Linked DNA regions of Sus scrofa. The protein of the gene in region 2 interacts with the protein of the main gene of each other region in a pairwise test. Links are inferred from orthologs where the notes say so. Each region holds a gene or a part of one and is shown on either strand. Other genes may lie near its edges. The genes, in order: GNAI3 and GPSM3.

Evidence for each region.
Region 1: the proteins of GPSM3 (region 2) and GNAI3 interact in binary tests that used the Homo sapiens proteins (3 or more experiments, as listed by UniProt). The two-hybrid records come from large-scale screens. The link is inferred for Sus scrofa from reciprocal best matches to the Homo sapiens genes GPSM3 and GNAI3.

The regions. Positions count from the first base shown.
Region 1 is NC_010446.5:110,576,087-110,580,484, forward strand, and holds the start of GNAI3 (guanine nucleotide-binding protein G(k) subunit alpha), read right to left. Parts: upstream 2,827-4,398; coding exon 2,709-2,826; intron 1-2,708. UniProt on the Homo sapiens protein: Heterotrimeric guanine nucleotide-binding proteins (G proteins) function as transducers downstream of G protein-coupled receptors (GPCRs) in numerous signaling cascades.
Region 2 is NC_010449.5:24,226,942-24,231,202, forward strand, and holds GPSM3 (G-protein-signaling modulator 3), read right to left. Parts: upstream 2,836-4,261; 5' UTR 2,619-2,835; coding exon of another isoform or gene 2,448-2,618; coding exon 2,406-2,447; intron 2,197-2,405; coding exon of another isoform or gene 2,191-2,196; coding exon 2,088-2,190; intron 1,852-2,087; coding exon 1,652-1,851; intron 1,426-1,651; coding exon 1,288-1,425; 3' UTR 632-1,287; downstream 1-631. UniProt on the Homo sapiens protein: Interacts with subunit of G(i) alpha proteins and regulates the activation of G(i) alpha proteins.

The DNA.
Region 1 (4,398 bases), on a different chromosome or scaffold from region 2:
ACAGTCATCTTTAACGAACACCTATTATGTGCCAGGAGAGACAAGAGTATGTAAACAGATTTCAACTTAGACTAAGTTTAACAGTCTTGCCGTGTTGAAATAAAAATGACTTGCATGTACATCAAAGGAGTTATTCTACAGCAAAAAGAAAATTATTTGTACGCTGTGATGGGTGCATCATGCTTACAGAAATAGCAAGGAAGATATTTAATTTCACAGGTGGGTTATGTTATGGTTCAAGCAAGAGCATCTGTCTCTGTAACCTATTTGAATCTGTTGATTTAACTTGCTCAAGAATATTTTTAAACTCTTACTTAAAACAATAAAATTGATAAAAAGTAAAAGCATGAGTTCCCGTCATGGCTTAGTGGTTAACGAATCTGACTAGGAGCCATGAGGCTGCGGGCTGGATCCCTGGCCTTGCTCAGTGGGTTGCTGTGAACTGTGGTGTGGGTTGTAGACGCGGCTCGGATCTGGTGTTGCTGCAGCTCTGGCGTAGGCGGGCGGCTACAGCTCCAATTAGACCCCTAGCCTGGGAACTTCCATATGCTGAAGGAGCAGCCCTAGAAAAGGCAAAAAGACAAAAAAAAAAATAAAGTAAAAGCAAATGCTTTAATACTTTAATTTTACTTACTGCTTTTGAAGTTCCCTAAGTGATCATCTGTTTAATTTTGTTTTTAATTAAATGTACTATTTATGAAGTCTTGAATAAAGATTTTTCTAGACATTTGAACAAGTTCTGCTTGCCTAAGTTCTGCCTGCCAAATCCTGTCATTTGAAAGAAAGACTCACAGTTTACCTTTACTTTCATAACCAATCAGTCAATAGAGACAACCCCAACGTCTTAAGTATTATGGTTTATATCAAACATCTGAAAAGCCCCAAGGAGCAATGTCCAACATTAGCTGGTTAACAGTATGTATTTTAAAAGCACCCACTACATACCAGCGACCCCACTCATTCACAAATGCTGTTAATAGAGAGTGGCAGACTGGAACTTCAATTTGAATTCATACATTCTATAGGCTTGGTATTCAAACTGAAAGCTCAAGCTCCAATGCCTAACTTTCCCTCTTTATTCAAAAAGCTGTTACCAGGGTTTCTGCAATCTACAAACCATCAAACATGTTAACATGAAGAGACGAGCATGGGCGCCCAAAACAAACCTCGGGTTATGGTGGTGCATTCTATCCTCTGGAGCTTTATATTATAAAAACTTAGCACTTCTCCTAAATCAACCTCTTTTTCTCAAAAATCAATTGTTTCAAAAAGTAAAGTGATACTGCTTACAGAAATTGTTACTCCCACTTGTTCTTCCCTAACGGATCCCTAGAAAACACTAACAGTGAAGAAATGTGGCTTGATTTATTGGTAAGCTGATGCTAGGGTACTTTATCTGATTCACTGAGCCTCTAGAAATCAGTGTCTCAAAATTCTAAAACAAATCATGCTGAGTAAAATGCATCTGACTGTAAAAGCTGCTTAAAACGAATGTCAACTAAAATAAACAGTAATTCCTGAAGCCAATATTTTTATGTTTTTAAAATTTTTATCTTTTTAGGGCCAGACCTGCGGCATATGGAGGTTCCCAGGCTAGGGGTCCAATCCAAGCTGTTGCTACTGGCCTACGGCCAGAGCCACAGCAACACCAGATCCTTAACCCACTGAGCAAGGCCAGGGATCGAACCCACAACCTTATGGTTCCTAGTCGGATTCCTTTCCACTGCGCTATGGCGGGAACTTCTGAAGCCAATTATTTTTAGTTTGAAAAAAACAAAAAAAGTACAGGTCTGTCGCTGTCACACTTTTAACAGTAAGTATGTCCAATTCCACAATTTATTTTTAGATAACTGCATTCCCACTGCCCATCATTCTTAGTAACTATTCAGAAACTTCCACTGTGTAATCTATTGACACCATTACATCTTATGCCACAAACCTCAAACAAACCAGGACATAAATTTCCTCAGCTCACACCACCTCCCCCTTATGAAAACAAGGCAAGGAGTTATAAAACCTTAAGAGAATAAATATCACAGAAAAAGGTGGATAAGTACACACAGCCTCTGCACCCGAATTCTTTTCCTTTATACCCTAGAACCTGTCATTTACCTCAACTACACATCTTCGTGTTCCTGGATAACCCGGGGTTCCTTCGCCTTCCAGACAGTTCAAAATGCCCACTCTAATAAATGGCAAGGTCCTCCGGAACCGCTGTCTCGGCCCCTCTATTTCTATTAACCACTCAAGCCTCCCAGCTCTATCCTGTCACAAAGTATCACCATGCTGCATGCACACTCGCAAGCCATTATACAAGCCCAACACCCTCTCCCACCCTCCTTGCTACCAACTCATTCCAACCCCTCACTTGCAAAACCTTCCCTAATCTGAGCTCTTCCCATATTCCTAATAAAGTCTCAATGTCCTACTGGACCATATTCCCAAGCTCTCTCCGCTAAACGCAATTACAGCATGGAGTCGCACCCTCTCGCCTAATTTCAAACACCTCAAAACCCCACCTCTCATCAAGCCCGCCCGAGGCCTCAGCCACCAGCCCCACACCCCGCCTTGAGCCCGTCACTGCCTCCAGACCCTTCGGGGTCCTTTCCGAGGGCCCGGTCTGACCCCGGCTCAGGGCTCCCGGCTCAGGGCTCCCGAGTGCCTGGGCCCTCCCGAAACCTCCGCCAGCCCCGCCCCCAGCTCCTCACCAAGTAGCAGCAGCTTCACTTCTTTCGCCGCTTTCTCCCCATCCTCCCGCAAGTTGCGGTCGATCATCTTGCTCCGTTCCACCGCCGCCTTGTCTTCGGCGCTCAACGTGCAGCCCATGGCGGCGGCGGGAGTGGGGACCGGGCCGGGGCTCACTTAACACACCGCGGAGACTGCGGCTCGGCCGGCTGAGACAGCGTCTACTGCTGGGCGGCGGCCCTCTCCGTCAGCCCCCGGAGCGCCCGAAGGAACCGGATATCCGGAGTTTCACGACACTTCCGGCGACGCCCCGCGCCGTTGCTGCGCGGACCTTTCTGGCTGGGGTAGGGGAGGCACAACCGAAAGCGGAAGTACAGAGAGAGGGTTGGGAGGGCGGTCGGCGATTCTGGTGAAGTGGGGAGGCTCTCTCGAGCTCCCCCGGGCTCCGCTCGACCTTAGTCCCCTTTCACCTTTTTTTTCGGCTGCCTTGTTTGGATAAATGCAGAAAAGCCAGGGACTGGTTGCTCCAGCTCAAGGCATCCTCCCGAGGTCACATAGCCAGCTTCAGATTGGCTTGGGGGGGTGGGACTTCCCAAATAATTGCCCACAGCCCGCACGGGAATTTCTGCTGGGAATTTCTCACTGGCCAGAAAGCCCATCTGAACTCTGGCTGTGACGATCTGGGGCCCCTGCCCAAGTGTAGAACACTTTCTCTGCCAGGGTTGTCTCAGCCAGATCGCTAGGGTGAGAATTATGTCTGGACCCTGGCCACGCTCCACATCTGAAATAAGTAAGATCGGCCATGGTTGGGACTTCATGGATCCCTTTCTGCCCTCTGGCCCACCGCCTCCTTCTCTTAGCTGTACCCTGTGGGCTTGAGAGTTGCCCAGCTACTATGTTGGCAAAGGGCCACGTGAAATCGCTAACAGATCTTAAATTACCTGAAAGATAAAGAGTGTAGTTGCTCCAGAAAATTCCCGCGTTACCTTTCCCCAAGGCAAGCCAGTGTTAGCGCTCACAGATCGTCCTGCATTAGGGGTTAGGACGTCTACCAAGATTAGTCAATCAAAGTCCCACACCCAAAACCAGTACATCCTATAAATCTCCTAAAACTTCCTGTTGTGGTAACACAAGAAAAGCGAAGTTCTAGTAAAATTTGTCTCTCGGCTATAGCATCACCTGAAAGTTGATAAATCCCCTGTGAAAGCCCCAGACTTTTTATCCATAATCCTGGATACTACAGTGAAAGTGTCCCTTAATTACCTTCATTTCCAAATAGCCTGCAAATTCTCTCACCGTATAGTCTAGGGAGAGGAATTCTTGTAGCCTCCAAGTCTTTCCCTGAAATTAAAAACTATTTCCTTAATAGAATCTAAACCTTAGAATATTAGGTCCCAACAGAAAGGTCTATATAGTGACTGTTGACCCTCAGAGGGATTTCTTGAGAGCCAACCTAAACAGCCTCATCTACCATCATACATCAAGAACAGATCTTCCAAGTTCTAAGTCTCCTACTCTTTTCTAAGTGACTGCTAGAATAAAAGGGACTGCGTTTCCATATTCAACACTTTAGGGGAAAAAGGGCCAAAGTAAAGGGAAGAAAAATCAATATTTATTGAGTACCTATTTGCCAGGTATGGCCAGGTGCTTCCATGTGTCATGTCCCTTATTCCTCACAACAACCCTGTGAGGTAGGTAATGTTATCCCCATTT
Region 2 (4,261 bases):
GAGAGAGAGAGAGAGAGAGAGAGAGAGAGAGAGGGAGGGGAGAGAGAGAGGAGAGAGGAGAGGGAGAGAGAGGGAGGGAGGAGGGAGGAGGGAGGAGGGGGGAGGAGGGAGGAGGAGGCTGGGGGAGGGGAGCTGGGGAGGAAGAGGAGGGGAGAAGAGAGGAGGAACAGGGAGGAGCTGGGGGCGGAGAGAGACACAGAAACAGAGGAACTGAGACCAAGTGGAGGAGGGGACGAGGGGAGGAGACTGGCCCTTGGGGAAAAGAAGGGAAGGCCCCAGGGATGGACCTCTGTGGCTTGGGAGGGCGCCGTGTTGGGGGCTGGGGGCACCTGCCGCCGGGGTTCTGAATCCGGGTTCTAGCTGATGTGGACTCCGGCCGCGGGAATGCCTGGGTTCACAGACAGCTTAGTTCATATTTCTTCTCCTAATGACTCCCCTCCCTGTTCTACTTAATTAAAACCAGGAGAGGGGGGCTGGGGGGGATAATTAGGAAGGTCTCTAGCCGCTGCTTAATGAGCCAGTAATTAACCAGCCAGGGAGGGGAGCTGGCCTCTGGCCAGACTGGAGAGAGTGGCGGCCTCTGGCCTCACCTTCCTACCCTCCACCCTGCCACCCAGACACCAGTCTTCAGTCCAGAGGGGAATTATATTTATTCACATAACCAAACATCAGACAGTTCAGAACAGCAGTGGGGAGGGAGGGTGGGCAGGGCTCAATGTCCATCCACAGGCTGTAGGCCCCTCAGTTCTGGGGCTGGGGGGGCGATGTGCCAGGGTGGGGGGGTGGGGGGGTGGGAGAAGAGTCAATGTCTCTGCTGTGCCCTCTCCTCCCTTCTTGTTGGGAAGAAGGGTGGAACTGTCTCTCAGGTCAGAACCTCCGGAGATTTGCCTCCTTGGGAGGTGGAGGCCTGAGCCCTCAGCTCCCACCTGGTGGCCAGACTATGGGGGGAGGGTGTCCCCACAGCTCAGGACCAAGACTCCAGGCCCTCCCTGAGATCAGAGGAAAGGGTGAGGTGTCCCTCTGTACCTAGGATCCTCTCCCGGCCTCAAGCTCCCACCTACTTGGTCACAGGGGGAGTTAAATATCCATCCTACCTTGACAATTCCCAGGGTTTGAGGACTTTCACCCCCTCTAGTTCCCAGGAAAGGTGGATGAGGGCAGTGAATATTGAGAATTCTGCTGGTTCTTCCAGTCTCTGGTGCCCCTGCGGGGCAGGGCTCAAGGCCTGCAGTGGGCCGCCCAGCTTTGAACCCCGGGAGTGCAGAAGGGCTGGTGGGAGCTCAAGTCTTAGCAGGTGTGTGTGGGGGGCTGGGACCTTTGCTCCTCCATTCGACCTCCACCCTGAACTCTCAGCAGCAACTCCAGGAGCTCCTGCCCCCCTGGGGGTAGGGGAGGCTCTGACCGCTGGGCTTCCATCCGCTGGCACTGGAGGAGGAGAGGCAGGGAAGGTTGTTGGTAAGGTTCTAAGAGGAGCAGGCCTTGAAAGGAGCCAGGCTGGTGTGAGGGGCATATAGGACATGTGTGATGGGGATGGGGGACTAGGGCAGGTGCCTGGGGAGAAGGAGGGGTGGGGCCCCAAAGAGAACAGGGACCAAGAGACCAAGAAGCCTGGGCCTTGTCTCCTGGGGGGGCAGGCAGTGGGGTGACTCACCTGGTGACTGAGGATAGTGCTGTAGAGCTGTTCTCTGTCCTCAAGAGGCCGGGGTGGGACTCGGCCTAGGCTTGGGAGCTTCTGGGGGGCATGGAAGGTGGCCCTCTGTTCTTCTAGGCGGCGGGACTGGGCTTCAGCCACCAGGTCCAGGAGCAGCTCAGTCTGCAGGGAGAGAAGGGAGGCCGAACGGGGCCCCACGGCTGGGAGAGGAGGGGGAGGGCTCAGAGACCCAGAGAAGCTGGCAGTCAGGAGTGGGGTGTGTGTGTGTGGGGGGGTGCAGGGTAAGGTGTTGAGGGACTTGGGATCAGGGCTCAGGGGTGTGATGGGGAGTCTGGAGGAGGTGGGGAAGGAGCCCGTGATGGAGTGGGGCTTGGTAACGGGATCAGGGAGGATGTGGGCACCAGGGTCAGGGAGTTCCCTGGGTGGGTGGGGGTACCTGTGTGGCGGGTCCCTGAAGGAGGAGGGGACGGAGGAGCAGATCGCCAAGGCCGAGTGCTGGTGTTCACAGGGGGCCAGCCATGCTCATCCTGATCGGGGTCCTGATGCTGAGAGACAGCGGTTCCAGCCAGTCAGGCAGGGGTGGGGTGGGCAGAGGGCTAGGCGAGTAGCCCATTTCCTCTCTCTGTGTCTGTTTCTGCCTCAGTGTGCCCAAGCCCCTCCGCGTCCCCGGAGTCCACCATGACTCAGTCTCTTTCTCAGGTCTTCTCACCTCCCTCTCGCAGTGTCAGCCTCCCCGACCCAGTACTCAGCTCACCTGCTCACCATTCTCTTCTTCCTGGGGTCTCTCAGCCTCCATCCCCTGGAGGGGAGAAGCCGATGGGGGGGTGGGATTTGGGAGGAGGGCCGGAACCCTGAGGTCCTGAGGGGAGTAGGGGCTGAAAGGGGTGGGGGTGAGCCGGGGGCTGGATGCCTGGGTACTGAGCAGGAAGCTGGGTTCCTGGTCAGCCCCCCCACCGGCCCCGCCCATCCCTGTCAACTTCCTCCAGTTCTCTTTTCCCACCCAAGCTGCTTGCTAGACCTCGCTTGCCTCAGGGGAGCACAGAGACTGGGAAAAGCTCCTCCAGCTGCTGCAGTGGTGGAGGTTCAGGGTGGGGAAGGACTTTTGGCATTCTCATCTCCAGAGCCTCAGTAGCCCCCTAACCCCCCAACTCTGTTCCCTCCACCCCCCCTCCTCCCCTGCAGTTCTGTCAACACAGGAACTAGCTACAAAGGAAGTGGTTTCACTCCTCAGAACCCCCCCAACCCCCCCCCCCATTCATTGCCCCAGGTATCTTCCCCAAGAAGGACCCTCTTCCTCAGCCTCTGTCAGACTTACTGGGACTGGGAGGAGCATGGTTCCAGGGGGAAGCAGAAGACTCAGATCCAGGGATGTCAGGCTCTCAAACATATACATATCCTCCTAGCACTGTGTCTAATAAATGTGTAGAATAGTTATCATTGCCCTATGGGTACTTGCGGTCTATTCAGGGGACAAAATATGCAGCACACGTAAGAGACAAGGGGGCAGGGGAAGCTTCCCTCTAGTCATGAAATAGGAAAGGGAGAGGATTAAACCTGGCTTGGTCTCTCTTTATTCGATGCTGGTCAGATTGGCTGATGCCGAGGTGGGAACAGGACAGCAGAGACATTTGGGACCTCCAAATAGCAACCTGTCCTATGAACTGAGTGACTTTAAGCATGAAATATGATGACAAGATCAAGTTTTGCCACTTAATGCCTTCCAATCTTGGGCAAATAAAATCTGTGCCTCAGTTTCTGAAAGATTAAAATGGAGGTTTTCGTTTTTGTTTTTCCTTTTTGGCCTCACGTGCGCATGTGGAAGTTGCCAGGCCAAGGATGGAATCCAGGCAACGCTGGGTCCTTTGCCTGCTGTGCTGGGCTGGGGATTGAACCTACACTGCCACGGAGGCAACGCTGGATCCTTAACCTGCTGCACCACAGTGGGAACTCTGGAGTTTTTTAAAAATAGAGTTGATATGAGGATTCAATGTGATAAAGCATTTGGCACATTGTGAATGCTTAATAAATGGTAGTTATTATTAGCCTTAAAAATGCTTCATGCCTCTGTGTCTCAGGTCCATTGCCTTGAAAGAGGTATAACTAGGAGTTCCTGTCATGGCTCAGCGGGTAATGAATCTGACTAGTATCCATGAGGACGCAGGTTTGATCCTTGGCCTCGCTCAGTGGGTTAAGGGTCTGGTGTTGCTATGAGCTGTCATGTAGGTGCAGATGCGGCTCGGATCCCGCGTTGCTGTGGCTCTGGCGTAGGCCAGTGGCTACAGCTCTGATTCGACGCCTAGCCAGGAACCTCCATATGCCATGGGGAAGGCCCTAAAAAAAAAGAAAAAAAGAGATATAATTAACTGTATTGCTGATTGGTGGTTAAAGTTTGAGATGCTCTCTCCATCTCCCTCTACTTGAGGCCTCAGGAATCTCCTAAATGCCTGTAACAAAAAGCCCTTGGAAGAGGGACAAAGGGTAGGCGTGATTTAGTGTGTGTGTGGTTTCTCCCTGGGTTCCTAGAGACTCTTCCCTTTAGACAATACCTTAAATTAAAGTAAGACCCCCCAATCTATTGATTCTTGCTCTTAAAACTGGACTCAAAGCATC